Linked DNA regions of Arabidopsis thaliana. The protein of the gene in region 1 interacts with the protein of each later gene in a pairwise test. Each region holds a gene or a part of one and is shown in the gene's direction. Other genes may lie near its edges.

Evidence for each region.
Region 2: the proteins of AT5G25475 (region 1) and AT5G09780 interact in a two-hybrid assay, tested with the Arabidopsis thaliana proteins (one large-scale study listed by BioGRID).
Region 3: the proteins of AT5G25475 (region 1) and AT1G33760 interact in a two-hybrid assay, tested with the Arabidopsis thaliana proteins (one large-scale study listed by BioGRID).
Region 4: the proteins of AT5G25475 (region 1) and AT2G32020 interact in a two-hybrid assay, tested with the Arabidopsis thaliana proteins (one large-scale study listed by BioGRID).

What each region holds. Positions count from the first base shown.
Region 1 is NC_003076.8:8,864,880-8,872,984, reverse strand, and holds AT5G25475 (AP2/B3-like transcriptional factor family protein), read left to right. Parts: upstream 1-3,163; 5' UTR 3,164-3,274; exon of another isoform or gene 3,275-3,467; 5' UTR 3,468-3,492; coding exon 3,493-3,594; intron 3,595-3,904; coding exon 3,905-3,955; intron 3,956-4,054; coding exon 4,055-4,496; intron 4,497-4,593; coding exon 4,594-4,718; intron 4,719-4,810; coding exon 4,811-5,065; 3' UTR 5,066-5,188; downstream 5,189-8,105. Other genes in the region: DNMT2 (DNA methyltransferase-2), read left to right, coding at 786-866, 950-1,060, 1,184-1,277, 1,354-1,472, 1,573-1,695, 1,903-2,322, 2,412-2,477, 2,572-2,636 and 1 more; AT5G25470 (AP2/B3-like transcriptional factor family protein), read left to right, coding at 5,751-5,852, 6,173-6,533, 6,646-6,767, 6,874-7,131; DGR2 (transmembrane protein, putative (Protein of unknown function, DUF642)), read right to left, coding at 7,591-8,105.
Region 2 is NC_003076.8:3,036,456-3,044,476, reverse strand, and holds AT5G09780 (Transcriptional factor B3 family protein), read left to right. Parts: upstream 1-5,862; 5' UTR 5,863-5,992; coding exon 5,993-6,091; intron 6,092-6,516; coding exon 6,517-6,811; intron 6,812-6,891; coding exon 6,892-7,190; intron 7,191-7,287; coding exon 7,288-7,521; downstream 7,522-8,021. Other genes in the region: AT5G09800 (ARM repeat superfamily protein), read left to right, coding at 125-1,354; ATXR5 (TRITHORAX-RELATED PROTEIN 5), read left to right, coding at 3,507-3,861, 3,962-4,042, 4,307-4,536, 4,632-4,732, 4,819-5,031, 5,114-5,273; AT5G09770 (Ribosomal protein L17 family protein), read left to right, coding at 7,959-8,014.
Region 3 is NC_003070.9:12,233,767-12,241,234, forward strand, and holds AT1G33760 (Integrase-type DNA-binding superfamily protein), read left to right. Parts: upstream 1-3,780; 5' UTR 3,781-4,177; coding exon 4,178-4,732; 3' UTR 4,733-4,944; downstream 4,945-7,468. Other genes in the region: AT1G33750 (Terpenoid cyclases/Protein prenyltransferases superfamily protein), read left to right, coding at 3-266, 346-616, 739-1,114, 1,523-1,741, 1,820-1,958, 2,040-2,582.
Region 4 is NC_003071.7:13,629,079-13,636,518, reverse strand, and holds AT2G32020 (Acyl-CoA N-acyltransferases (NAT) superfamily protein), read left to right. Parts: upstream 1-4,589; 5' UTR 4,590-4,774; coding exon 4,775-5,326; 3' UTR 5,327-5,539; downstream 5,540-7,440. Other genes in the region: AT2G32040 (Major facilitator superfamily protein), read right to left, coding at 1-85, 187-335, 435-597, 669-733, 813-1,063, 1,172-1,403; AT2G32030 (Acyl-CoA N-acyltransferases (NAT) superfamily protein), read left to right, coding at 3,278-3,844.

The sequences.
Region 1 (8,105 bases):
GTAATTAATTCCTCGCATATGAATGGAGATCAAATAGATAGTGTTTGTAGGTTCCGTGTTCGCGTATCGAAATAAAAAAATCAATTCCTAAATTTCTAGATTGTAGTTTGGGTCTTTCTCAATTTTATTGTAAATCAACTTTGTACCTCACTCTAACTATGAATTACTTATAAAATATTTCTATCAATCCTTTTCAATCTCACTAAAACCATCCAAACAAACCTACGTGGAATCAAAGTTCATATAGTATGAACATGAAGAACACTAGAAGGTCCAAAGATTCAGCCTAGATCAATGTTAGCTAGAGTCTTTTTTGTTTGTTTGTTAATTTGTTGATTGTTAGCTAATTTTATATCCCCATGAAATGAAAGATTAGACATAAAAAACCCACAACATACTTTCACACATACTAAAAAGCAAAGTGTTTGATATGCCATGTAATTCCCCAAAATAACATATCCTTAACCTTAATATATAAAACAGTGGTAACTAAAATTGGTTAACGAAAAAAAAAACAAAAATTGGTTAAGGATTGTTTTTTATTTTTTGTAAGTTGAGGGTTATTTTGAAACATATTGGCTAGTTTGAGGGTTTTCTTGCTAATTAATAAAGAAAAACGACAAAAAACAAAAAACATGGTTCTAACAATAAACCGAACAAGCGTGGTATGGTTCTATTACTAAACAGAACAATATAAAAAAACGGTTTAATTTACCCAAACGAATAAGAACAATAACCAAAAACTCCCAAATTAATTTTGCTTAAGCAGCAGCAGAAGAAGAAGCATGGCGGAACAAGAATTACAGAGAATCAATGAGAAGAAGCCATGGCAAGTTCTCGAGTTCTACAGTGGAATCGGTGGAATGGTAACAGTCTCCTTCACCTCCAATTCTATGTTTTTAGTGAAGTCTACTCTGTCTCATAAACCCTAATTCCTTTTTGCTCTTAGAGATACTCTTTAATGGCGTCAGGCATCGTCTCAGAAGTAGTAGAAGCTTTTGAGATCAATGATTCTGCTAATGATGTTTATCAACATAATTTCAAACATCGTCCCTATCAGGTTGCTTAATGCTTATATATGATATAATCAATAGAAGCATTGTTACATTTGCAAATCATAGATGATGCTAGTTCTGTGACTTAGTCCATGATTAGTTCTTATTGTTTTGGTTGTTTTTCATAGGGGAATATTCAGAGTCTCACTGCTGCTGATTTAGATAAGTATAATGCAGATGCTTGGCTTCTTTCTCCTCCTTGTCAACCTTATACTAGACAAGGTGATTCATTTCACTGTTGTTTTCTTTACTATCAACATGACTTGCTTTTGGATACTAACAGTTTTTTTTTGGTTAGGCCTTCAGAAACACTCTGGTGATGCTCGGGCTTTTTCGTTTCTCAGGATTCTTGAGCTTATACCGCATACAACAAAGCCTCCACAAATGTTATTTGTAGAGAATGTTGTTGGATTTGAGGTATAGTGTTTGCTTATGCTTCCCAGCTAGAGTACTTGTTCTCGATCATCTTCTTTGAAGTCGTGACATTTTTGCTTATTGGTGGTGTTTGTTGGTGCAGACTTCGGATACACATATGGAAATGATTGGTACATTAACAAAATTAGATTATGTCACACAAGAGTTTATATTGAGTCCGCTGCAGTTTGGTGTGCCGTATTCAAGACCACGTTATTTCTGCCTGGTACTTTCTCTTTACCTTATGATTGCGTAGTGCATATCTGTGTACCTAAAACTGTTAATTTTAGTAGTCTGAGAATGTATAAGTATATGCTGATTATGAAACTTTCTCATGTAGTGTGCACTTTCTCATGTATATGCGTTAATCTTTTTGTTTTAGTTAAAACGTCACTAACTTTGAAATCATTTGATTTACCTGGTGTCTTTGTAGGCCAAAAGAAAACCTCTGCCATTTAAGTCCCAACACAGTAATAACAAACTACTCTGGTCTCCAGACCCGTTATATGGGCGTGATGATCAGGTTGAGTTTGGAAAATGTCAAGCAGAAGAAGGATTGGATAAATTACTTGAGTTTTGCAAACCAGTAGAGAAGTTTCTCGAGTTAGCTGCACATGTTGATGGCGAGCCAAGTAGTGTTGATGACTCTGAAAATGGGTCCAAAGATTGTTGTGGACAAGAAGGCGATTCTGTCCCAGACTCTGTACATCAGTATCTAGTACCAGTTAGTTTGATAGAGAGATGGGGAAACGCAATGGACATTGTTTACCCTGATTCAAAGAGATGTTGTTGTTTCACAAAGAGTTATTATCGATACGTGAAGGGCACAGGTTCCCTATTGGCAACTGTCCAGGTACGTTCTTCCATGGAGTATACAATATTACTTTCCTCTGTATTTGCAAAGTGAAAAGAAATGCTTATCGTGAATCTGTGATCACGCAGCCAAAAATCAAGGGTAAGGAATCTTGTTTGAAGGAGCAACGGCTTAGATACTTCACCCCTAGAGAGGTTAAGCACTGTCCTTTACTTTTACTACTAATGCCTCACTGAAAAAGTCAGCTTTATTTCATTGAAAGATGATGTTCGGTTTCTATTTGTTTAGGTAGCTAACTTTCACTCATTCCCTGAAGATTTTGAGTTCCCCAAGCACATAAGCCTTCGACAAAGGTACGCTGTTCATACCGTCAACACCATCTAAGCCAGAAAAAGCTACTGTCTATATAGATTATGTGCATCCAAGTATAACAGAGGCACCGTTTTGATTCGAATATAGAATTTAACCCATAATACCCTTATTTCTCCCGTACTTCCTGTTTGAAATGTGGAAATAGTTGAACACAAGAACATGAATCTCATGAACTCCTCTTTGTGCAGATACGCAATGCTTGGAAACAGTTTAAGTGTAGCAGTGGTGGCTCCTCTGCTTCGGTATCTATTCGATTCTTGACTACACAATTTGATGCACTAAGTGACGCGACCAATTACCGGAATCAGTTATTCTCCTGAACAAGCTTCTACTACTTTTTTGTTTACTGATAAAGTTCAAACTGATGAACTTACGTTTTGTTATCGATCCTTAACTTTATGGGCCAGTATTTTAAATGGGCCTTATTCGGCCCGTTAATCATAATTTCTTACCCAAATTTCCGTAAAAAGTGACCATAATATTGGCATGAGACATGAGTCTTTTGACTGTCTCTCTCTCTCTCTCAGTCACTTTAAATTATTTGAGCAGCCGCAGCGAGAGGAAGTTTTCTTCAACTGCGACGGAGCGTGAAGTTCACGCTCCGGCGGTACTACCTAAGGTTTGTCGTTAGGGACGTTACTTTTACGTTATTACTTGCTTCTTCGCCACTTTTCTTCATTTTTTCCGACCAGAGATATTTTGTTCCTCCTTGTACGTACAAAGTGTTTGTTCTTTTTTTACTTTTCCAATTTTTTGGCTCTAATTTTATGAACAAATGCAAGTAGGTCATCATACAAACCCTAATTTTGCAGAACTGATCCAGCTTTGAAAAGAAAAATGTTGCCTAAGAATGCTATTGAGAAGATCCAAGCAAATGTGAGCAAGCCTTGCTTCTGGAAGTCTCTCTCTCCAGGACAAACTTGGAAATCTAAATCCATGGTAACTTCAATTATGACTCACTCCTCCTTTGATATTTACTCACTGTTCTTAGACTCTTTCTATTGAATTTGCTTTGTTACAAGTTTATAGCTTTGGATGTTGTTGCTAGAACAGTAAGATGTGATAATCCTTTCATGTTTAGTTTAGCCCTTTTATAGACAAGTTATTACAGAACTACCCGTTTGTTGTTGTTTGAAAAAGTTCAGATCTTTTCTTCTTTTAAGAAACTTTGGAGACATTCTAATGGCACAATGCCTCCTCTGCTTCTTGCTGCTTGGTCTTCATTTTGTTACTTATTGACCTGTTTTAGCTACCGTTATGGGTACTTTTACGTCGCAGGTTTCGTTTGCCCTTAGCTCATGTTTATGCTAGTGTTGGTTCTAGTCCTTTTCTCTGCATTTCTTGACCTACAATCCAATCTTTTAAGCTCGTGTTTTTGCTGCTTGTGTTTTTTCTGTAGAAAGTTATAACTTTTAGTCTCATGTTTCCTCTTTTGAATGTAAGTATTGTTTTGTTGATTTCTGGGTTTATTAAGAGGATAATTCCGGAAGACTTTGTGAGAAGAACGCGTGGTGCTTTTGAGCACAGAGTGGTGTTTAGTGTTCGTTGGGAAAACTCCTGGCAACTCTGGCTGGAGCGAGAGAAGAACGAGCTGTTTATGATAGAAGAAGATTGGAATGAGTTTGTAGACGACAATCATTTAGGTCCAAATGATAATCTGTTCATCAAACACGATGAGACGATGAATCTTGAAGTGCAAATCTTTAAGAATAATGGGGTTGAGATCATTGATGTACCTCTTGGAGTTGAACCCGAAACTGAACCATTTCATCCTACGCCCAAGAAACCTCACAAGGAGACAACCCCTGCCTCTTCCTTTGCCTCTGGCTCTGGCTGCTCTGGTAAGGCTATTCAGATCGATAGAATCATCAAACTCCAAACTATCATTTGTTCTCTATGCCAATGTTTGATTGGATTCTGTTTTGGTGGAATTCTCAGCAAATGGAGGGACAAATGGCCGAGGAAAACAACGTTCTAGTGATGTCAAAAACCCTGAGCGATACCTCTTGAATCCTGAAAACCCTTACTTTGTGCAAGCGGTGACAAAAAGGAACGACGTTCTGGTAATAATACAAGTGTTTACATTGTCAGCTTTTTATTCCATTTGTGGCCTAGAAAGCTAAAGCTTGTCTTTGTTTCCTGCTGTATGTGCAAGTATGTGAGCCGACCGGTGGTTCAGAGCTATCGCTTGAAGTTTGGTCCCGTTAAGTCCACCATTACCTATCTTCTTCCCGGGGAGAAAAAAGAGGAAGGCGAGAATAGAATCTATAACGGGAAACCTTGTTTCAGTGGCTGGTCGGTTCTATGTCGGAGGCACAATCTGAATATCGGAGACTCCGTGGTTTGTGAACTTGAACGCTCCGGTGGTGTGGTTACCGCTGTAAGAGTGCATTTCGTCAAGAAAGACTAGACCAATCCTCTCTAGTAACAACAATATGTTATTTACAACTTTCTGTAACAATGCTAAATGTGTCAATTATGTGTTAGTTTAACAAACTTGTCAATTCACTTGCAATCGAATCGATTCTAGAGTATGATGGGCCAGTTTCTAATATGGGCCATATCCGGCCCAATAATATTGTTTGACCATTTTATTATTTCCATACACAGTACACATTTGACACTTGTCACAGTGCTGTTGACTGTTGAGTCTCCTCTCTTTCTGAAAGCAGAGAGATTCGATTTGGAGAACAAGGGCTGAGAAGAGCAGACACAGCAGCGAGAGGAAGCTTCTTCGACTGCGACGGTGCGTGAATTTCATGCTCCGGCGACGTTACTTTTGACGCAATTACTTGCCTTTTACGCATTTACTTTGTTCTGACTTCTGACCTAAGTTTTTTTCCCCTTTGACCGTACAAATTTTGCTTCTTTCTTCGTTTTTCTCTGTGTCTCTCATTAGTCACCATTTTCGTGTTCTCTGCTTTGTAACACTTTCGGGTTTAGCTACTGAAAGTAAGAAAAGCGAGATAACGCATTAAAGGTTTAATTTTTATCCAGTTTTACTGTTTCACTGATTTCATTACATGCAAGTCATCTTCGTCTTTGTTTATGAACCCTAATTTTGCCGAATCCATCCAGCTTTTGAAGAGAACAAGATGTTGCCTAGGAATGCTACTGATAAGATACAAGGAAATGTGAGCAAGCCTTGCTTTTGGAAGTCTCTGTCTCCAGGACAAAACTGGAAATCTAAATCCATGGTAAAACAAAATTAGTCTCTCTTCTTTTCTAATCTTTCGAAAATGTAGCTCCTTTGATTTTGTACTCACTGTTATTTCCATTGAACTTCTTTGTTTGCTCTAAAGATCTATTGTTCGTTTGTTGTTCTTGTTCGAAAAAGCTTTTGATCTTTCAAGAAACATTTGAGGAGATTTTAATGGCACAATGATTCCTGCTTCTTGTTCTGCTTGACAAGCTCGTGTTCTGCTGATTGTATTTTAGCTTTTAGTCTCATGTTTCCTTCTTCTAATGTCAGTATCGTTTGTTGTTGTCAACTGTTATGATTTCTGTCTTTATGAAGAGGAGTTTTCCGGAAGAGTTTGTGAAAAGCACGCCCGGGGCTTTTGAGCACAGAGTTGTGTTCAGTGTTCGTTGGGGCAATTCTTGGCAACTCTGGCTGGAGCGAGAAGAAAAAGATCTGTTTATGATAGAAGAAGATTGGGATGAGTTTGTGGATGACAACCATTTAGGCCCAAATGATAACGTGTTCTTCAGACACGATGACAAGATGTTTCTTGAAGTGCAAATCTTTAAGAATGATGGGAACGAGATCATCGATGCACCTCCTGAAGTTGAACCTGAAACTGAACCATTTCATCCTACTACACCAAAAAATTCTCACAAGGAGACAACCACTGCCTCTGCCTCTGCTTCTGCTTCTGGTATGGCTATATTCAGAATGAAAGAATCGTTTTGATGCTCTTCATACTCAATACTACTCTTTTCTTTTCTCTCAATGCCAAAGTTTGCTTCTTTTTGTTTCTGTTTTGGCAGAATTTTCAGACAATTGGCGAGAGACACATGGTTGTGCTGATATCAAAAACCCTGAGCTGTACCTTCTAAACCCCAAAAACCCTTACTTTGTGAAAACGCTGACAAAAGGGAATGACGTTTTGGTAATAAGAGCAGTGTTTTCATCAGTTTTGATTCTAGTTTACGTTTGTTGCCTCTAAATCTAAGACTTATCTTTCTCTCTATTTCTCATGTACAATGTGCAACTAGTATGTGCCCAAAACAGTGATTAAGAAGTATGGCTTGAAGTTTGGTCCCCATTTGTCCCCCATGCATTACCTTCTTCCCGGAGATAAAATAAATGGCTCCACTAAGATCTATGGCGGTGGCAGTGCCCCTTGTTTCAATGGCTGGGTGGACCTATGTCGAAAGTACAATCTGAAAACCGGAGACTCTATGGTTTGTGAACTTGAACGCTCTGGAGAACTGGTTACTGCTGTTAGAGTGCACTTCATCAATAAAACATGAGATGAGTCCTCTCTAGTCTCTTTTCTTTAACATTCGTGTTTACCAAACTTACTATTGTAATGTTTATATGTGACCCTTATGTTGCTTTAACAAAACTTAAATGCTAAATTTCTTATGCTTCTGTTACTTCATTGGAAATGCTCGATTGTGATTCAGTCTTATATGCTCGTGAGAAGTAAAATATGCATACAACTTTATTGTAAGTTTTGTAACTCTTCCATAAAAATTAAAAGGCCTAGATACATAAGATATAGGCAACGTTTCTTTTGCCTTCTCATACAAGAAAATACAATATAAGCAAAGGCCCATCTGCCTATATAAAACCCTAACTCTCGTAAATAAAACTCTGTTTTTTTCACCTTCTCGTTTCAATAAAATCCAACACACACCAAAGACAGTTTAAGGAAAATAAAAGAAGACCACACGATGCATTTTCTTGTAATAGGATTGGTGATTCATCTATGGTTTACGAACGCTTATAAGCTTGACATCATCGATCACAGGCCCACACAATGACGAGAAATCATCGCTCCTCATGGCATAGAAAGTGCTGTAGAACATAATTCTTGATCGGGTCGAAACCGCCACAAATCGAATAGAAGCTCGTTTAAACCCTCCTGTGCCTTTCGACTCGTAAGGGACCTTAAGTGTATCTTTTCCTGCAAAAGCCTCAACCACCATTGATCCTTTGCAAGCATTGTTGGCGTCTCCAACCGCAAAAGACAGCACGTAAGTCTTCCCAATGACAGTCCGAACCACTTGAGCGATGGCACTCTCTTTACCCGCTACAAGCTCAATAGCTCTGCGACCCTGTGGGACTGAGAAATGTTCAACGTCTACGTACTTGACAGCTTTGAGAGACTCCACCATCCATCCAGGTAAAGGAGAGTGGTCGTCTTCTATAAACGGTGGGATCAAAACTCCAGTTGTCGAGCCGGGTAATACTAATGGACCTTCTTCAAATCCTCCGTTTT
Region 2 (8,021 bases), 5.8 Mb from region 1:
TCTCTCTCATGACTCATCATCTTCTTAAAACCTAACCACACGAGTCACGTCTCTTTCTCTCTCAGTGATTTTGTTATTTATTCTCTCTTTGAAACGTTTTCGCCGAAGAAGAAAGAGCAAAAACATGAGGAGCGATGATCTTTACATCACCACCGTCCCTTGTTTCTTCAAATGTCCAATTTCACTTGATGTGATGAAATCTCCGGTGAGTCTCTCCACCGGCGTTACATACGACCGAGTTAGCATCCAACGTTGGCTCGATGATGGTAACAATACTTGTCCCGCGACGATGCAGATTCTTCAGAACAAAGAATTCGTACCTAACCTAACTCTTCACCGTCTCATTGATCACTGGTCCGACTCCATCAACCGTCGAGCCGATTCTGAGTCTCCGGAATCCGATACTCCGACGCGAGACGAAATTAACGCTGCGATTGAGAGATTCCGGATCGAGAATGATGCTCGTTCGAAGATTCTCCGGTTCGCGAGAGAATCTGATGAGAACAGAGAGTTTCTCGCCGGGAAAGATGATTTCGTAGCGATGCTTGTGGATCTCATTAGCGATTCCAGAAACTTCTCTGATTCTCAATTGCTACTCGTTGGAGAAGCGGTGAAGATTCTGAGCATGATTCGTCGGAAAATCTTCGATCGGAGACGGTTATCGAATCTGATCTTAACGAACGGTGGTGATTGCTTGACTTCCTTCTTCCTATTGATTAAACGCGGGAATCCAAAATTGAAGATCGATTGCTCCGCCGTGCTTGAGTTTATCGCCGTCGACGCAGAGTCAAAGCTTATAATCGCCAAGGGAGAAGGATTGGTCACCGAGATTATTAAATTGATAAGCTCAGATTCCGACTCAAGCTTAATCGAAGCGAATTTATCTTTATTAATCGCGATTGCGTCTTCAAAACGCGTGAAACTCGCATTAATCAGAGAAAAGCTAGTCACGAAACTCACGAGTTTGTTAACAGATCCAACTACGAGCGTTTCAGTGACGGAAAAATGCTTAAAGCTTCTCGAAGCTATTTCGTCTTGTAAAGAAGGTCGATCGGAGATTTGTGATGGTGTGTGCGTGGAGACGGTGGTGAATAAGCTGATGAAAGTGTCGACGGCGGCGACTGAACACGCCGTTACGGTTTTGTGGAGCGTCTGTTATCTTTTCAAGGAAAAGAAGGCGCAAGATGCCGTTATTAGAATTAACGGCGTTACGAAGATACTGTTACTTTTACAGAGTAATTGCTCGCTTACCGTTAGGCATATGCTAACGGATCTTCTTAAGGTGTTCAAGGTGAACTCAAGATCTTGCCTTTCGGTATACGAAACCAAAACGACACATATTATGCCGTTTTGATTATCCCCCCTCCGTATTAACTTCTTTAGGGATTATTACTTGTTGGTAAAAAAAATTCAAGTTGTAAGGAAAGAGATTTTTTGGAAGGTGAATGGAATTGTTATCACGGCCAATGCCATTAGAACTTTGAGAATAAATTGCAATGTTCTTTAGTACTAGTATCATTGCAATGTTGATACTCTAAACCAGAATTTTATGTTTGGACTTGGCAAAATCGTATTAAAAGTAAAGCTATCAATATGCTCTATCAAGGGAGATGTTGTCTTTGTATCTAAAACAAACTGAATCTTGATTGATTGAGCAGTCAAAAACAAAATTGGATTTAAAAGATTACAAGAAGTGGATTTGGCATTTGGAGGAACGTTAGGATAAGGAAGGAGGTCTTTGGTGAGTTGCAATTTCTTGTCAACATCAACCTTAGTACCAATTTCCACTTTCATTACTTGAAGAAATTCACTTTCCGACAGAACAGCCTCACTTGTTCGACTTCTCTAAGATTCCCTCTACACCCGTATAACTCCAACACCTTCAACGTATTTCCATCAATGCTATACCCACAAGTACTTACACACTGAAAACCCTGAAACAACGGATAGAAAAGAAAAGAACACACAGTAAGTGAAACTCCGAGATTAAATTTATAATTGAGAAAGAGAAAAAGAGATCATATTATACATACAAACCTTGAGGATCAAAGTTTCTAGATTGGGAGAGCTTTTTATCAGAGTCCAAAGAACTTTCCAACCTTTTTTCGTCTTAGACTCAAACGATAGTTTAACAAGGTTTTTAAACAAGGGAAATTCATTACTACGCCAATAATCGAAGCAATGACGCATCATCTACAACACACAAGCAAACTGGTCATGAATGAAACACAAACAAATTGGTCAAGCATGAATGTAACAAGATACATGGAGAAGAGAGAGACATCATACTTTAACGGTAGTAGAAGCAAGGTCAAGAATGTTTTTCATATTCCTCATATTCATAGGGACAAAACTCATAAGGCATAGAAAGATCGATGCGGGCTTCTCGAAGGGAATCCATTGTGATGGACCAGTAATAGTCTTATTTCTTTGATTTTTTTGGAATACTATGACTTAAACAGTATTAGTATAAGCAAAACTTACATGGCGAGCATATATGAATATCTTGAAGCATCCACCGATGCAAGACTTAAGTTTTCATCCTTGTGAAGAAGTGCAACAACCTTAATAAAGGACTTAGCCACAAAATTACCTAGCATACACCCCGGTTCAGAAAATATGATAAGAAAGTTTTGCTCTCATCGTCAAGAATATATCAAACAACCATTTCACTTGTTCCAATTATGTATATTATTCTTTATAGTCTATACCATAACTATTTCATTAACGCTAACACCGCAATTTCTTATTAATTAAAAACCTTGAAAAAAATAGAGAAAACTATTCATATATAAAATTATAAGATAAAAATTTACAATTGAAAGATATTATATATGTATATAAAATTATGAAAATCAATATGGCGAAAAATTCTTAAATCGGAAACAGAAAATTATGTTAAACCATAAGACATAATTTATTAAATTTTGTATTTTATAGATTCAGATTTATGTAATATTACATTGTTGGTCAAACCAGAACACTTTGGTTTAGCTTGTCAAATAAAGAACTTGAGCCTCCAATGAGGCGGACCGACTGTTGGGCTTGGCGTTGGGGTGGCTCAGTTGACGAAATTGACGTTTACTGTGTTTGTATTGAGCCCACCAACATATATTTTTTTTCAATTGAAAGATATCTATTTTTGTAATTACGTTTGTATAGTATAGTTAATACTGTATTAATTTTTATATCAATCCCTAGTAAATTAAATAAGTAAAATTTAGTTAAGAAATTTAGTAACAATTAAAAGGCTTTAATGGTTGTAAATTTATTAGTATCACTTACAATGTTTAAACCTTTTAAGACATACCAGTAATTTTGAATTTGTCAAAGGTCAAAAAAACAAAAGAGCCGATAAAGAAGAGTCTCAAAGGAAGAATCCCAAATTACACTCCAGGTGATGCGCACATCAGTTTTCGTGCGCACACGCGGCGGTGCACATTAGCCCCAACCAATCAAAATCATATATCCCGTTCTCCGGCGACTCTTCGTCGTGAGCTTCCGTCATGGCCACATGGAACGCATCCTCCCCTGCGGCGTCTCCTTGCTCATCGAGGCGACGAACGAAAGCTCCAGCGAGACGCCCTTCCTCCGAATCTCCACCACCGAGGAAGATGAAATCAATGGCTGAGATAATGGCGAAATCTGTCCCTGTGGTTGAACAAGAAGAAGAAGAAGACGAAGACAGCTACAGTAACGTCACCTGCGAGAAATGTGGTTCTGGAGAAGGAGACGATGAGCTTCTTCTCTGTGACAAATGCGATAGAGGCTTTCACATGAAATGCCTTAGACCCATTGTTGTTCGTGTCCCCATTGGAACTTGGCTTTGTGTCGATTGTTCCGACCAACGACCTGTAAGAAGTATGGATTTTTTGTTTCTTCGCTTTTAAATTTCCTAATTTTCTTGTGTTCTTTGTTTAATAAAAAAATGGATTTTTCTCTTGTCCGGTGAAATGTTTAGGGTTATCTCAGAAGAAGATTTTACATTTCTTTCGGATTGAGAAGCATACTCATCAAACAGACAAATTGGAATTGAGTCAAGGTGCGATTTTTGTTTTTGGATTTCATGATATGATCATAAAGTTCTTGAGTTGATGAATCTGACGAGATGTTTCACTTGATTAAATAGTTAGATGAATATGAAATAGCTTAACTTTGGCCTATTATATGCTTGAAATTTTGTTGCACCTTATGTAGGGTTAATAAGCATTGATGAGAACTTATACATATCATATACATAGATCATAGATGCTTCAGGATTAAACTAATAACAAGTGTTTGAGATTGAGATTTCTTTGTTTTGAAGAAGAAACTAGAAAGCGGAGACGATCTTGCTCTTTGACAGTGAAGAAAAGAAGGAGAAAACTCTTACCTTTGGTTCCATCAGAAGATCCTGATCAGAGGCTTGCACAAATGGGAACACTTGCTTCTGCATTAACGGCATTGGGTATCAAATACAGCGATGGTTTAAATTATGTTCCCGGAATGGCTCCTCGGTCTGCAAATCAATCCAAGTTAGAGAAAGGTGGGATGCAGGTAATAAACAAAAACAATCTTTCAGCCATTTATCCATAACTCTCTTATTTTAAGTTACTTCCTTGATTGTTTATCTCGGTTTTTACTTTTCGCAGGTGCTATGCAAAGAAGATTTAGAGACATTGGAACAATGTCAATCTATGTATAGACGAGGAGAATGCCCTCCTCTCGTTGTGGTATTTGATCCGCTTGAAGGGTATCTCTCTCTATTCCTTCGATCAACCTTCCCATAATGACAAAGTGGAGTTGTAAACATGTTCTTTGGTTATTCCGTTTGTACAGTTACACAGTTGAAGCAGATGGTCCTATTAAGGACTTAACATTCATAGCTGAATATACAGGGGATGTTGATTACTTGAAAAACCGAGAAAAAGACGATTGTGACAGCATCATGACTCTCCTTTTATCAGAAGATCCTTCAAAGACTCTTGTTATCTGTCCAGACAAGTTTGGAAACATATCTCGCTTCATTAATGGCATTAACAATCACAATCCGTAAGCAACAAATTCAAAATTGTTTTCCCCCCACTAAACTGGTTTATAACATTGAATCATCACATCACACTGATTGTTGCAGGGTTGCTAAGAAGAAGCAGAACTGCAAATGCGTGAGGTATAGCATAAACGGCGAATGTCGAGTTCTTCTAGTGGCTACACGCGATATATCGAAAGGGGAAAGGCTCTATTATGACTACAATGGTTATGAACATGAGTATCCTACTCATCACTTCCTCTGATCTTTCAATTCTAACAGTTCTACAGAGTCTCTAGATCAGATGTTCTTTTTGTTGCCATATTACAGGTCAATTATAAATGTAGGGCTGCTGAATATATGGCCTTTAATTATGAAGTTAGCGGTAGAATAATTGGATTTGGAATGACATTACAGAGATTAAGATGTGGCAAATGTCAATTGCTGAACTTTTGTTTGATATCAAATGAAATCCTAACCTTTTTCTTATATGTTCTTGGAGACAACTTCACCACCTTAAGTGGTTGCCAAATAAGTTATAATTTCTTTTATACTCTTCTTCATAAATTTATCAAAATGAAGAACTAATCCAATACAGTCATTACCTAAACAGAAAAGTATAATTACAGTACTTGCCTAGTGTCGTACTTCTTATTTCCAGTCACCGAAATGTATTAACGCCAAAAGAGATTCATCTGTTATGCATAATAATCGCATGCTATGAATTAAATGAACACATCCAAAAAGGATGAAGTCACAATTGTACTACAGTTTCAGTATTGAGAGGAAAGCTTTTTTCACTTTGACCACTTTGATTGAATCATATCTTTGAAATTTTAAGTGGTGCTTTGCTACATATTCAACGGCTCAACAAGACAGAGAGAAAAATATTACGAGAGGAGATAGAGAGTGAGAGAGACGAGCAAGTTGAAGGAGCAAAACTTGTAGGTGAGAGCTTGAATCAGAACATTTCAAAGGAGAGAGATGGCAAGTAACCCTGATTTTCTTTGGTGCAAAGAAGAGAGGAAGCAGGAAAGCTTCTTCAAAGTTCTTAAGCGTTCCGACATGTCTTCAGAGGACACGGTAAACTATGTTCTAAACTCTTTATGTTGTTGAATTAGCTTAGTCTAGAAAGGTTAAACTTTCGGTTTCTTAAAGGTTTGAATCTTGTCGTTAACTGTCTTTATGGGTCTAGAAAAAGCTTTTGTTTTTCTTTTCTGAGGAACTTTTTTCATGGTTTTGTGCTTCTCTTAGTTCTCAGTTCTCTGTCTGAATGTGAAGATGTGTACTTTATTTCTTGTGGATGAGATCTGTTCTGTTCATTTTCACCGTCTTGTTGTGTTTGTCATTTGTGTGTTATAGCTCACTGATTTCATGGTTAGATTTGAAACTTTGTACTCAGATTCTTGATGGGATGTGTAAAAGCTCACTGATTTTTCACTGTTTTATATTAATATCAGACATGTATCTTACTTATATCTTTTCATCTTTCTTTTATATAACCACAGCGAGCGATTCCGTACGACTTTGTGATAAACTTCTCTGACAATGAGCTCTCCGGAGACATGAAGTTCAGAGTGCAATGGGGAAACTCTTGGAAAGTAAAAATCTCCAAGAACCCGAGATTCTACTTCATGGAGAAGTCTGGATGGGAGAAGTTCGTGATAGACAATGCCTTGGGAGACCACGAGTTTCTTACCTTCACTCACAAAGGACAGATGAGCTTCACTGTGAAAATCTTCAACAAAGATGGCAAGGAGATGATGCAACCTCCGCAATCCAGAGCCTCTTTCGCTTCTTCTAGTAAGATTTTGATTCTCTGATTATGAAACAGTGAACCGGATTAAAGACATTGATTCTTCATACTTTTGATGATGAAACAGGTCGTGTCAAAACAGAACAAGATGTCAAGAGGGAGGAAGAGGTGTTGGTGTCTTCTGACTCGAGGTCTCGTGGCCCGACAACAGCAGCTGAAACTAATAGAGGAGGCAGCTACAAAAGGAAGCTCAACTTTGGGAAGAAGAAAGCTGAGGAAACCCAAACTTACAAGAGGACTGAGAGGACCCAAAATTCCAAGAGGACGGAGAGAGTGGTTAGTAAGGAGAGAGTTTATGCAGGCGAACCTTCCTCTTCTGTTGCAGGATTCAAAATCTTTATCTCGAAATCATACATCAAATCCCTGGTATGATAAGAGCACTAACACACAGTTTCTGATATTGGCTTTTGTGTCAAACTTGATATGTTAATGATTGACGAACAAAATTGGTTTGGTTTTTCAGGCGATCCCGAAACCTTTTGGAAATTATATGCCGAAGGAGAAAACAAGGGTCAAGATCCATCATCCAGATGGGGAGAAGACATGGAAGGTTGTTTTTGTGGTAAAAGAGAGGGGTCAAATTTTCTCTGGTGGATGGAAACGTTTGTGCAAGGAGTATCCTGTTGTTTTTGGGGACACTTGCAAATTCACCCTCATCACACCACTCGAGCTGCTTCTAGTTGTCTCAAAGCCATAAGAGAGAATAACTCACTGATGAATGATGCTGATGGATGTGAAGGTGCCTTGGATAACAAGCAACTGAAGTAAACTACTTTTATGTTTAATGGTGTTAGTTTGGTTATGTGAACTTTCCTACTCGTCTGTAGCTTTCATATGTTTGGGACCAATTTTTATTTGTTTCGTGTTTCCGTGAGACATTAATTTGCTTTCTCTTAGTTATATTCAGCAACCAAAATCTGTTGGAACTTTTTTTGAGGCAGATTCCAAATTTTAGTTTAGAACAGAATTAGTCAAAAACCGGTTTGTAGGATATATGGGCCCTTTTGTCCAAAAAAAAGAGAGGATATATATGGGCCCAAAGCCCAAACCCAGTAGGCGCTTCACAGAGTTACAGTCTCTCCTCCTCCTTTAGGGTTCTTCTCTCTGTTCAGAGATCACTTCTCCGACGCAGAAATGACGAAGTTCAGGAAGCTTGGTCGGCCGGCGGGTCACCGTATGTCCATGCTTAGGTTTAGT
Region 3 (7,468 bases), on another chromosome or scaffold:
AAATGGAAGCAGCAAGAATGGGTTTTCGAGCTAAAACTCTCCCTCACCTTGGCAACGGTACTCGACTTCCTCTTAAGACCAAACTCTCGCTCTTTCCTATGCATTTGCTTCAAAACCACACTACTCTTTCCCGGAGATCAACAAAACTCAACTTATGTGTCAAGGCTTGTAGTAAGACTAGTGGTGTTGAGAGTAGTCGTCCCTTGCCTCACAGTGCTCCCGATCTTTGGGGAGATCACATCCTCTCTGTCCCCACCGAAAACTCGGTAAGTACCTGATCTGATGAATGTGTTTCATAATCAGTCGTTATTGTAGAACATTATTCTGAGCACTGATATTTTGTAGGAATTTGATACACTAGAGACAGAGATTGAATCAATAAAGCCGAAAGTGAGAAACATGCTAATGTCGTCTCACAAGACTGACAAAGAGAGAATATGTCTCATACACTTGCTTATTTGCCTTGGTACTTTCCATTACTTTGAGAAGGAAATTGAAGAGATTCTAGAACAGGCTTTTCGGAAGTTGGACATGCTATTTACAGACGAAGATGATTTGGAGACAACTGCCATCATGTTTGAGGTTTTCAGATTATATGGACACAAGATTTCTTGTGGTAAGACATGCAGTTCCCATTATTACCATTTTTCAATGGGATGCATATTTTATACCATTACATATGTATTTAGCTATATACATATATAACATATATATATATATATCCTGGTGTCAATTTAGATGTGTTCGATAGATTCAAAGGTGTTGATGCCAAGTTCAAGGAACATCTAGTCAGTGATGTTCGGGGAATGCTACAGCTGTACGAAGCAGCGCATCTCGCAACACCCTTCGAAACTATATTGGACGAAGCCTTGAGTTTCACAAGGTATCACTTGGAATCTTTGGCCGGCCAACAAGCTACAGCTCCTCATATCTCAAGACATATACTTAACGCATTGTATAAACCTCGGTTTCTTAAGATGGAAATAATAGCTGCCCGGGAATATATTCATTTCTATCAAAAAGAAGGTCATGATGAGACATTGCTCAAGTTTGCGAAGCTCAACTTCAACTTTTGCCAGCTACATTACGTTAGAGAGCTAAAAACTCTCACCAAGTATGTTGGCCTACTTTTATTCATATTTCCCGGTGAATTTCTTATATGTACATCCTTTAGTACTTTACCAAAACTCATGAGATTCCGACTAAAAACAGAGAGATAACAAGTAGATAGATTTATATATCTTATACATTAATTTAGATCTCATCTTACTTTAGGCTTGACCTGTAGGATTGCCCATCTCGAATTAAATCCCTCTTTTAGATTTTTTTTTTTTTATCAGGCAACATACTCATGTCGGGTCAATTGGAATAACATCTGTTATCATATAATTTTTAGTGAGCTTTCAATTCAAAACCTGTAGGTAATATGTTGATTGGTATGTGTCTTTTATATTATATTTTAATATAATCTTAGATGTAAGATTCTTATAATATTTTCTATTTAATGTTTTTGTGGTTGAAGATGGTGGAAAGACATTGATCTTCCATATAAGCTACCTTACATCAGAGACAGGCTTCTAGAGACCTTTATCGGTGTCATGGCGGTGTATCTCGAGCCACACTATTCACTTGGGAGAATTATAGCCACTAAAGTTTCCCAAGTGATAGTAGTTATGGATGACACCTGTGATGCATATGGAACTTTCTCTGAAGTTAGAAGTCTTATTGATTCTTTGGAAAGGTAGTTTACTAAGTATGAATCATGTGGTCTTATAATGACGTCATTTTTTAACGAGCACATGCATGGGAAAATCCTTAGGTGGGATCCTGGTGCCATTGACAAACTACCGAGCTGTTTAAGAATCGTCATCCAAAGTATAGTTGAAACAATGGAAGATATTGAAAGAGAAATGAAGCCGCGAGGAAGATCCTCGAGTGTGCAAGACACCGTAGAAGAGGTACACCAACAATTTTAGGGTTTAGTTTTAATCAATGTCCATATAAATTAATGTTTGTGTTTAATATTGAGAATTTTGCAGATTAAGATCATGGGGAGAGCGTACGCTGAAATATCAAAATGGGCACGAGCAGGTCACGTTCCAACCTTTGATGACTATATTGAGCTTGGGCTTGACTCGTCAGGGATTAGATGCTTTGCAATGTACAGCTTTATATCGATGGAAGATTGTGAGGAGAATCAAACGAACGCGTGGTTCAAATCCAAACCCAAAATGTTACGAGCTTTAAGTGTTATATTTCGTCTTACAAACGACATAGCCGGCTTCGAGGAGGAGATGAGGAGAGGAGAAGTGGTTAATGGGGTGAACTGTTACGTTAAGCAACATAATGTTACCAAGGAATTGGCGGTTCGAGAAATTAAGAAGATGATTAGAGATAATTACAAGATAATGATGGAAGAGTTCTTGACGATAAAAAGTGTGTCACGTCCGATTCTGGTCCGGTGCTTCAACATTGTACGATTGGTCAATCTGTATTACGAGGAGGGTGATAATTTCACCAATCCCAATGGCAAGCTCAAAGATCTCATCACATCTTTGTTCTTCCATCCTCTTCCGCTTTGAAGACTTGGCTCCTTGCCGAAAAATTCATCTACATTTCTCTTTCCATTATTATTGATGATTGTTAATTTGCTCTATGCACATATTTTTCCATTAAATTTTAATTCCTGGGGTTTCAATTAGTTTTTACTATTTTAATTTATTTTGCATAGAAGTTTTTTTTATAACTTTCACTACCCACAACGACAAGGAAAGTTGACCAAAAGAATGAAATAATATCATAATTCATGTTTATATACGTTATACTATTCAATTCTTAATTCATGTTTATATACGTTAAACTATTCAATTCTTAATTATGTTTCTTTGCAAATAATATTAAATTACACACATGAGTTCTTGAACCAAGGAACGTATAAGTTCAAAAAATAGACTGGAAAGCAAAACTTTGTTATACTTGTTGAGTTCTTATGTAGGATCCAAATCTTGTAGATAAGCAACAATATATAATGGGCGGTGAGATTAAGACTGAAAGTATTTTTTTGACCACCGGATGGACCGTACGGATTTCCACAATTCGATACGGTGTGGTTGTTAGTGCCTTAGTGGCGGTGGTGACCATTATGCAGCCATTTAACTATTTAGGGTTGGAATTTGGCTCATGAGGTTTTACTACACATCAAGAAATTATTTGGAGACAGAGCATCGATCTTCTGCTGGTCGGGTTTTAGAATTTCATAAAATCAAATTTTGGTTAATTTAGATGGGTTTCTTTCCCCAATTCTTCGTTATGAACAATTCATTATTTTGGTCAACTTAATTGTCTATGACTCTATGGGCAGTTACATAATGTTACTATCATATTTGCTGTCAAGACTCTTGAGATATGGCATATATGGACTTTTGTACGAGAACCTAAAGTTCTAACCAACACATGATATAAAGGACTAATTGCTTTTCTTTTCATTTGGTCTTACAACAACAAAACACAATATACTACTTTGACTTAAAATAATTGATCTTTTATATGAAACACTAATTTATCTCAGTATGAACTATGAAATCTATTTCCTAGTTGAAAAGTTTAAATATTTTGAACTTTTTGATCAAGTTAAATATCTATAATCTAACTAAGGCCCAGAATATACCAAATATGAAATATATTTATCAAGGCCATGTCAATTTTCTTGGAAGGCATGTACAAAGTTTTTACTGAAAACATATTTGATGTGTAAAAAAATATTTCTAAAAAAATTTAGAACCCAAATCATATAAATATCAAACTTGTCTTCAATCAAAAAAATAATATTCAATCAGCGTTTTCTTTCAAATACACACAACACACTATTTGTACACGCTTAAAGACAGCTTTGCTAATGTACAATATCCATGTAAGTAATAGAGACCCATGCATGCATGACAGCATATTTCCACTTCACAAGTAACTACGTAGGAAGCTCACTTCACCTGAAACCAAACAAGCCATCCACAAATTCTATTCCCTCATTTATTGTCTTCTTTATTTCTCTATATATACAATTTCACTTAACCACTGACTCTATAACTCAAAACTTCTAAACTAATTCGCACAGTTCTATATACACTCACAAACACACACACACACAATATAGTGCTACTAAAATAACCTTGTATTAATTATGGAAAACACTTACGTTGGCCAACGAGATTACCGCTTCAACGTTAACCAGTTGTCCTACAGAGGCATTCGTCGGAGGAAATGGGGCAAATGGGTATCGGAGATCCGAGAACCCGGTAAGAAAACAAGGATTTGGCTTGGAAGCTACGAGACGGCCGAGATGGCTGCAGCGGCCTACGATGCTGCGGCTCTTCACCTCCGAGGACGTGGGACCAATCTCAACTTTCCGGAACTCGTCGACAGTTTTCCTCGGCCGGAAAGCTCTAGTTCGGAGCACATTCAAGCGGCTGCACAAGATGCAGCACTTATGTTTAAACCAGGTAGGTTGAGTGAACCAGCTCTCGAGTCTGGTCAAGGACTTTCTCGAGTAGGATTGTCTCCGGATCAGATTCAAGCGATTAATGAGTCTCCATTAGACTCGCCGAGGATGGGGTGGATGCAGGATTTGGAAGTTGCTGACTACGAAGAATTATACGGACAATTTTTTGGTCAGCACGATAGGGATGAGTTTTTTGAAATGCAGCAATTTCAGTCCATATGGAATTCTAATAATTGATATACGTTCGCTTAATTGCTTAACCATTTGATTTTTTTTTTAATAATGTCATATCATCAACCAAGGTTTTTCGATTATATTCAGTAAAGTATAATAAATTTTCGACCCTTACTGTTTTTCTTGGGTTCAATTTGTAATCTCTTAACAATGATGATGTCATAAATACCAATATGATTAATTCAAATTTTCAATATATATGTAATGTTTTGGTTCCTTGTCAGTCAGATAGTATCATATGGTTTATACGAGAAATAAATATAAACCAAGGAAAAAACTCAATCCAAGAAAAAAAAATGTTATCTTATAAAAACTTAGAAAAAAGGGTGGTTACCTTGTGCTTCGTCTTCGGTTTTCGTTGTGGTATTCGTTAAATTGGAATAAGACTAACTCCGAAAAATAGGTAAGATTATAGACCAAAAACCTGAAACTCCTATGGTTTATTAAAAACAAAATTATTTGATGAAAGTCCATTATGTAGACACATATAACCCATAATATATACACACGAGCTGACGTGCACGTACCAATTCGTACTATGGCCGCCTCAAAAGTACAGGTTTATTCCATATTATAGTGAGCATGAGTCCGTTGAAAAGCTTTGATTACCTAAAGATATACTATAATCAGTATCAATAACAACTGTTGCAGTCAATATTATATTAGTATGAAATGTTTTAATTGTCCCATACGTTCAGTTTTCTGTTAGGCCTAATTGCGTGAAATTATAAATTAAAGTTTTAATTAGATCATAATGTAAAAGCATGAATTTGACTCTTTAGACACGTTTAAAAAAGCAAATTTCGAGACTCCAGTAAGTGATGATGACTAGAAAATTCTTTTATTAAATATAAATTAGAATAATCGCAATAGCGTTGGTATGGTACACTCCGTGTGGGGACAGAAGAGACGATTCCAATATGCCGTCAGAATCTCCTGTGGACCTACTATACATTGACATTTCAGCTTCAGCAAACACTTTCTTATCCTTAATATTATCTTCAAAAGTTTTGATATGATTTTTTGTTAACCGGCTAAATAAATACTTTAAAGAACTTCCTTATATTAATTGATACGATGATGATCAATCTTTTTTCATTTTTTTGTGGGTACAATGATGATTAATTCTTAGTATCAAAATGTGATGGATATGGTGATATAAGTGTGATTCTATTCTATAATCCACTATATGTAGGTTATTAATGAAACATTGTTTGAAGAATTACTGTACAAGTTCTCGTAGATCATTTGAGATCGTGGTCAACTTCATTTTTTACAATGCCTTACAACTTTCAGACAGGGCCGGCCCTGAAAATTAATGGGCCATAGCAATTTGATAATTAGTCTTTGTTTCGCTGTCAGAGGTTTATGACCATCGAAAACAATGATAGGTTGAAATGTGTAAGTGTAACGTCATGTTTGTTTGTAGTGAATTTAACATGAATTAAAGCTTGAGAGACTCATTTCTGAATATATACGGAGAGGTAGATTTTTGAATATATACAAAATCTGAACTAAAAATTACGGATAAAATACGATTAAGGAAAAGATGAATACGGAGAGGTGGAAGTTGATTTCTTTCTTTAATTCAATAGTTTTTTTTGTCTCTCATTATGGCAGTTCTTATGAGATTTTGAATCCTACGATACCATAATCACGACACTCAAATTTATGAACTGGTATCAGTATCTCTGTCATACCCTGGAGACTTAGTTTATATACAACGAGGATGTTGATAAATAACAATTGATGCAATGCAATGAGCCTATTGAAATTTTGCTGGCAAATTAAAAAATAATTTGATAATTTACCACATGTTGTAATGCAGAAAATAGGTCTCTCCATGCCATGTGTAAGCTTTTAAGTAAAAAATTTGACAATAAAAAAAAATACAATAAATTTGTGAATTGGAGAAGGGCGTTGGTCTCTGATTGGTTGATGAGATATTTTAGATATTTATCTCACCGTTATGAGTTCAAACTTAATTATTTTATACCAAAATTCATCATATCTACATATATATTTTTGCAGCTATTTTGTGAAATAAATCCTATAATTGGAACTTATTTACAATACGTACCACTGGATTTTAATGTTTGTTTTTGATAATTAGAAAAAAAATCTTCAAATTAAATATTTGACATTTAACAATCTTCCCTAAATCTCTCCACATTAACTACACGATTAGTTACTAAAATAAAACTTCCAAAATATTTAATATCATTTAATTACTACAAAATAAATGGTTTTTTTACGGGACGGATTGGTGGGACGGGTTTGACAGGACGTTACTTAATAACAATTGTAAACTATAAAATAAAAATATTTTATAGATAGATACAATTTGCAAACTTTATGTATACTAACTTTAGAAAATAAATTGTTTCCGCGGTGTACCGCGGGTTAAAATCTAGTTGTTTTCTTTATAAATAGAAACTTGAATCATTTGATTATGACACCAAAACCGATTTATTGCTGGTATCCTCTTTTTTTTCCTTTTTAATTAAGTGGGAATGCTTTGTTGGATGAGTTATTTGATATTATCTTGAAGTTCTATCATAACTAATTATGTATGGATAAATGAGTTTTGGAAGATAAAAGTAAGAGTTGTAATAATATATTGATATAACTTACCAAAGAAATAAATAATATATTAATACAATTGTTTTGTTAACATATAACATATAAATTAAATTTTAAAAATTTATGAATTTTCCAATCAAATTATAACATATCATT
Region 4 (7,440 bases), on another chromosome or scaffold:
TGGTCTGACCACACGTTGTTCATTCACGAGAACAGCAACTGCTGAAGTTATCAAGGGTAGTAAAGCTGTCACCCCAAATACAAACCTGAGGTATAACAGCTTTTAGAATGCCACTTAGTTAGTTAGCTATGCCACGGAATACCGAAAAAGAGAAAAGCTACTGTTTGCGCAAATTGTGAACTGTACCTCACACCATATGACTCCACCAGGGAGCCGCTAAAGTAGGAACTCACAATTCCACCAAAAGCTGAGGATCCCCAGCACAAAGACTGCAGCGATCCTGACACGCTTTGTGACTCACCACGAGCCCGTTCCACTACCATTGAGTCTACTACCTATTAAAACGTTAACCACTTAATTAATATTTCAATATATCCAACTCTATCTTGCAACTTAACCAAGCTAAGTTAACCAGAATGGATTTGAAAACTTACAACATCAGAAAAGGCGACAGAGAGGGAACCGAGAAGTATACAAAAAGCAGCACTATATTTACTGTCAACAAAACCAGCCATCAAACTCCAAGAAAATGCACCAAGAAGTCCCGAGAGAACTAGATATGACCTCCTTCGATAACCAAATAGAGGCACTGAATCACTGCAAAACAGACCAACTTCCTTAAACAGTTATCACAGTCAAGAGGTATAGAGGTGATAAAGAACTCATACCTGATAAAACCATAGAGAGGCTTAACAAGCCACGGCAATGAAGAAAGACCCGTTATCACAGCTGTCTAGTCAAGAGGTATATATTTGTCAGCCTATAAAGAGATATTCCCATGAAAGTCCAACAAGGAACTACAAAAAGCATACCTCAGCAGGATCAAGATGCAAGTCATCTTTTAAATAGAAACTAACAGCGAGCCTAGCGAGTCCTAAAACACCTTGAACAAAATACACCATTGCTACAGCAACATTATCTGGTGATAATTCAACACCGTAGAATTTGATTCTGCTGCTACTAAGATTTCTTCCTTTACGAGGGGGAGGCTGTGTTCTAATACTAGAAGTAGTATCTCTGTCTCCTTCTACATCTGTATTCGATGTATCTCCTTCAGCTACACCTATTCATATACACACATTTCTGAGGATTCAGTTAATGGAGCTTCGATACTTGCAAAACCTAATCCCAAATGCCAATTTCTGAGGATTCTGTTGCTTTAAGAACTTACTGATTCGAGAATCTAAAAGCAGGCTTTCCTCAGAATCCCGCCGGCGAGGAAGCTCCGGGATTGAAACTATGGAGGACATATCTCTATCAGGAGGTCTCTTACGAATCTTCCGGCGTGATAGTCGGTGAGATCGAGCGGCGATAGCAAGGCGTCGTCTCTCGTTGTTGATGGATGGCAAAACTGTAAATTGAGAAGGTGAGATTGAGATAGAGAAAAGAGAGCGACTCGCCATTTTAATATTCGTTCTTTTTTTTTTCTTTCTTTTCTTTAAATAAACAACACTCCGTCTCTTGCGCTACGTAGATAAATTAATTTTTCTTCGTCTTTTTTTTCGATTGATAAATTAATTTTTGATTTTTCTCATGAACTATATTAGCAGCTTATTAAATTTTTATTGACAAAATATGTATTGAACCTTATATTTTAAATAATTTTGAGTTTTAATGTCTTTTTATGTGATTTATTGTAAAAAAAAAAAATCAAATTCCAGTAAAAATATGAGATTTGAATTTTTATATATGTAACTAAATAAATCTTTTTAAATTTTCTCAAATCCTTTAAAATTAATAAAGAGGTGTATTAGATCTAAGTGTGTCAAAATGGGTAACACAACTCAACTCAACTCATAATCAAATGAGTTTAGGGTTAAATGAGTTATGGGTTGATCCAACTCATTTTGTTAAATGGGTTAAGTCAACCCATAACTCATTTAATTTAATGGGTTGAGTTGTTAAATGGGTTAACCCATTTAAGTAATAATTTAATTAATTATTATTATAAAATAATAATAAATAATTATCATTATTAATTCATTATCATCAAAACTTAATATATTTACGGATTCCACTTTTTACGGGTTTACGTTTTTGGCGGGAAAATCTCGGGTTTACGTTTTTGGCGGGAAAATCATGGATTTACGTTTTTGGCGGGAAAATCACGGATTTACGTTTTTGGCGGAAAAATTACGGGTTTACTTTTTCTCAATTTCATCGCTTGTATATTTAAGAAATTTGGAAAAATATTAATTTTATTAAATTGGTTTAGATGTGTTGGTTAGACTTAAATTGGCATTGGTTTAGAGATTTTAGTTGGTTTAATTCAATTTTACAAAATTTGATGGGTTAATTGGATAAACCATTGAAACCATTAACCATTACAACCCAACTCATTTTACTCATCAAACCAATTGACTCATCAACTCATTTGACTCATCAACTCATTTGAGTCAAAATTTTCAACTCATTAGGGTTCATGGATTGAGTTGAGTTGAGTTGAGTTGACTCATTAATTTGGACCTTACAATTTGAGTTTTAGCTAGTTTTTATATGAGTTTGATGATTTTAGGAAAATTGATGTGATTTATTATAAAATATTTTAAAATTCTATATAAGACCATGAATTTCGATTTTGTTATTTTTAACTAAAGAACTTTCTCAAATCCTTCAAAATTAATAAGAATCAAATCTACCAATTATTTTCAATAACAATAGATTTTAAGATAGAATTTTAAATCTTTAGTTCAATAATACTAGATTTCATTAAAGTTTTTCAAATCCATAATCGAACAACATAGAATTTATAAATTTTACACAAATCACTTAAAATATTAGATTGAATACATTCTTATAAAAATCAAATCCATAAATTATTTTTAATAACAGTGAATTTAAAGGTAGATTTTTAAATTATTATTTTAATAACACTAGATTTCATTAGAATTTTCAAAATCCATAATTAAATAACATATACTTGTAAAATTTACGAAAGTCACTTTAAATACTAGATTGAATATACCTCTTTTAAATCAAAAACGATGAATGGATGGTAAATATACGGTTCACCCATACCCATTATAAACCGTCTTTTTCACACCTTCCATTCAACAAGAACTAATTGTTGCGTATTTGACCGATCGAAGCAAGAAGGAACGTTCTGTTTATTTTCTTTTTTGTTAAAAAAAAATCAGTATTTAAATCGTGATTTGTAGAAGAAGTATTATCATAATGCCTCTACACAAATCTGTAAGAATTGAGAGAGATAATTTATTTTAAAGAATCCCAAAGAAGCTTCAAAGACTCAAAAAGGAAAGTAACCAAGAAAAAGTCAATGGAGATGGACTCAACTACTACGATCAAACCGGAGACCCTATCCACCGTGAGTTCCTCACCTCCGGAGAAAATCCATCTCCGGCCAATGACTCTTTCCGACGTCGACGATTTCATGGTTTGGGCCACTGACTCAAACGTCACACGCTTTTGCACGTGGGAGCCTTACACTAGCCGAGAAGCCGCGATCGCGTACTTAAACGACGCTCTTTTGCCACACCCTTGGCTTAGAGCTATATGCTTAGATAACGACCGTCCGATTGGCTCGATCTCCGTAACGCCAGTCGATGAGATCAGAGGAGAGATTGGTTATGTCCTCGGAAGCAAGTATTGGGGGAAAGGGATCGCCACTGAAGCGGTGAGGCTTGTGGCGGGGGAGATATTCAAGGAGAAGCCAGAGATGCAGAGGCTTGAGGCACTTGTTGACGTTGACAATGTTGGATCTCAAAAGGTTCTTGAAAAAGTTGGGTTTGTGAAAGAAGGTGTGATGAGGAAATTTATGTATCTTAAAGGAAATGTTAGAGATATGGTCATGTTTAGTTTCTTGCCTTCTGATTCGTTGCACTGATCTGATTTGAATTAACAAATATCAAATATATATATTAAGTTTGTTTGATGTCGAAATTTATATTTTGCTTAGTTTGTAAAAATCACATGTATAATTTGATGTGATGCTCTATCTTTCTTCTTCTTATGTAATTGTTAGTTGTAACCTTATATATTAACTATTTCATACAAAAGTTATTTTTTATAATTTGAGAGTAATGTATTTACTATTTACCATGTTCACTTCACCAAATAAAACAAAGCTTCACTATCTCAGAAAAAATGTAAGTTTATATTGAAAATTAAAAGTACAAAATGAAACATGATATATATATATATATTTTCTTTTTGAATCTAAACATGAAATATTTTATACAATAAAAAGATAGTGTGATAGCTAGTTTTACAGCGATAGATGAATGGAATTCTGATAACATTCGATTAATTAATCTTTAGCTAAATTACTTAATCATACAACATGTTGAGTGACTTGATTCTTGAGTTGATTTTGACAGTATATAACAAACGATTACGATCATTTGCACCACAAATATTAACAGTATTAAAATATTTAATCCATTTAGAATAACTTGAGAAACAGTTAAATCCTTTTTGGGAATCAGACCACACACGATTTGACACGTGGCATTGTGGGCATCCAACTGGAAGCAACACATTAAGTTCCGAAACCAGAACAATACTTTGTTTGGCAACCAAGTAAGTGTCGAAAGTCCAAGGTCAAATATAGACAATTATCCACTCACACGATGACACCTCATCTTATGTCGTATATTTAACACTAAATACACTTATCTATAGCAAATGGTAATATTTAGTGTTTTTTTAGTCAAAAGCAATAAGGGAGAATCTCAAAGTTTTTCAAGATCGCGATGTGTATAAAGACATCGCTTAGACGTAGTGATATGATATCTAAAACAATCACTAATCCTAAATGGAGATGGACTCAGAAGAAACTAATCCAATAATGAGCTCTTCGCCTCCGGGAAGAATATCTCTCCGGCCGATGACTCTTTCCGACGTCGATGACTACATGGTTTGGGCCACAGATCCTAAAGTGGCTCGATTTTGCACTTGGGAGCCTTGCACGAGCCGAGACGAAGCTATCAAATACATAACCGATCGTGTCCTGACACACCCTTGGCTCCGAGCCATCTGCTTAGAAGACGACCGTCCAATCGGCTACATCTTGATCATGGCGGTTGATAACATCAGAAAAGAGATTGGTTATGTCCTAGCGAGAAAGTATTGGGGAAAAGGGTTTGCCACGGAAGCAGTGAGGCTAGTGACCGCGGAGGTATTCGAGGAATTTCCAGAGATTGAAAGGCTTGAGGCACTTGTTGATGTGGACAATGTTGGATCTCAAAGGGTTCTTGAAAAAGTTGGGTTTACTAGAGAAGGTGTGATGAGGAAGTTTATATGTATCAAGGGAAGTGTAAGAGACACTGTTATGTTTAGTTTCTTGTCTACTGATACTTTGAAGTAATTAATCAACAAAAAGATTAATTAGCAATTCTACATATATATGTTGGATTTAGTGTATGATTCATATACGTAATACATGATGTAAACACTCTGTTTTTCATTTGCCAAAAAAATCTATAAATCCTACATTGTAAATTACGAAACAATTAAAGTCAGTGCATGAGACAGAAGTGAGGTTAGAGGGATCATCCGATTACAAATTGATAGGTAGAGAAGAGTTTTAAAAATCAAAGGTTAATAGAAGCGTATAAACGAATAATGTAGAATGTAAATAAAACAATGGGATTCGTCCTGTATCCATAAAAAGGTTCACATACTCATCCAACAAGCAAAAGAAAAAAAAAGCAAAACATCCCATGGTCCTTGGGATGAGAACTTAAGAGCCAGACCAGCTTTGTTAAAATAACACAGGATATTAAAAGTATTTGTAAAATTTGAATTATGAATTTATGTAATTCAACAAATTTACTATAAGTAGTACGTAATTAATTTATTATGATTTCTCCATATTTCTTAAATTAAAGTAAACAATCTTTAGATTCCCCTGAGTTTCTTCTTCTTGTTGGAAAAATGAAGTTTACTCGTGCGTAATTCGTTAAGAGAGAAGCCCATGTGGCCCAAATTTAGGGCCCGTGTAGTGGAGGTTTCGTTATAAAGAATCTAGTGAGAAGTGAAGTGAGCAATTTCTTTTCTTTTTTTTTTGTTATGAAGAAAATAATCTGGAAATAAGAAATTACAAGAAAAAATGGATTTTTTTGGGTAAAAAAAAGAAGAAGAAATCAATCATCACTGTGCTTGTGTGAGGCTAATTTCGTTTCCCACTTTCAAAGGACTAAATATATTACTAATACAATTTATTTTAACTTCTGTGGTAGAACTAAAATATATTTGGCCTATAGATACACATGCATATCAAAAAAAGTTATTTTTAGGTTATGTGAATAAAGACTCCACTCCGTTCAATATGTCTGACCAGTCAGTCCATATAGGATATACGCATATAGTATGAAACAATTTATTAGTATTTGAAATCACTATGTAAGTATGTGATATTTTCTGTTAACCAACAAAAAAATTAGATTCATTTACTAACTAGCTCACTAAACATATGTTTTTAGGAATTAAAAATAATCTTAGCTCCAAAATTCGATAAGACTATATAGATATTTTACCTTTAAATAGGTACAAATTTGGAATGAACCGCAACATTTATCGAATTAGATAAAATATCAGAATGTCCACTCCTGTAAATCATAGCTGATGGACTTTAATTTTAATAGGATTGGAGTAATAGTTAAAGGTATTTAAGTAAATCATTTCGATATACACTTCTTGTTCTGGACCACATATTCCATTCCATTTTTATTTATTTGTTAATGTTAGGTAAAAATAGGGGTTTTCATGAAAAAAAAAATAGAGCTGATCATTGTCTCACTTCACATTGTACAAGAATGTTTTTATTTTATTTTTAATTTGGGTTTAAAATAAATAACCCAAAAAAAAAGGGAATTTAGAAGTGTTGTTGTAATCACGAAAGCTGAAACAAGAGAAAGCATGAGCAAATAGGAAAAAGAGAAAAGCATGAGATTACACAATACACTCTCTGCACTTTCATACTCTTTTTCAATCATTTCATTCTACATTCACATCTTTACACTATTCTCTCTCTTACCTTTAATATTTCAAAACATAATATACAAATTTCATCTGATTAAATTACAGCTTATATACTCAAACTAATGATTGAAAATTATTAAACCTTTTGCACGCAGTGCTACAAAAAATAATGCAAAGGTATTTGAATGTTGATATTTTGACTAATTGCTTACAATTATAACTCTTTATGAGATTGCAGAAAAAATAAAACTAATCATTGAATTTCTGTATTCCAATACATAGAATCAGAGAATGAGTGAGCTTCGAGGTTATCAAGAAGCCCTAACTTTTTCAGTACAAAGATCATCACAAGACGTTATCTTTTTATTCTTTTCACTTTTCCTTTGTAAGAAAACTATCATAATGAATGAAATAATTGCTTTTGCTGTATAGTATTTTTGTTACACTTATTAAACGGCTAAATCTTACTTATACAACAAGCATTACACTATCATTGTC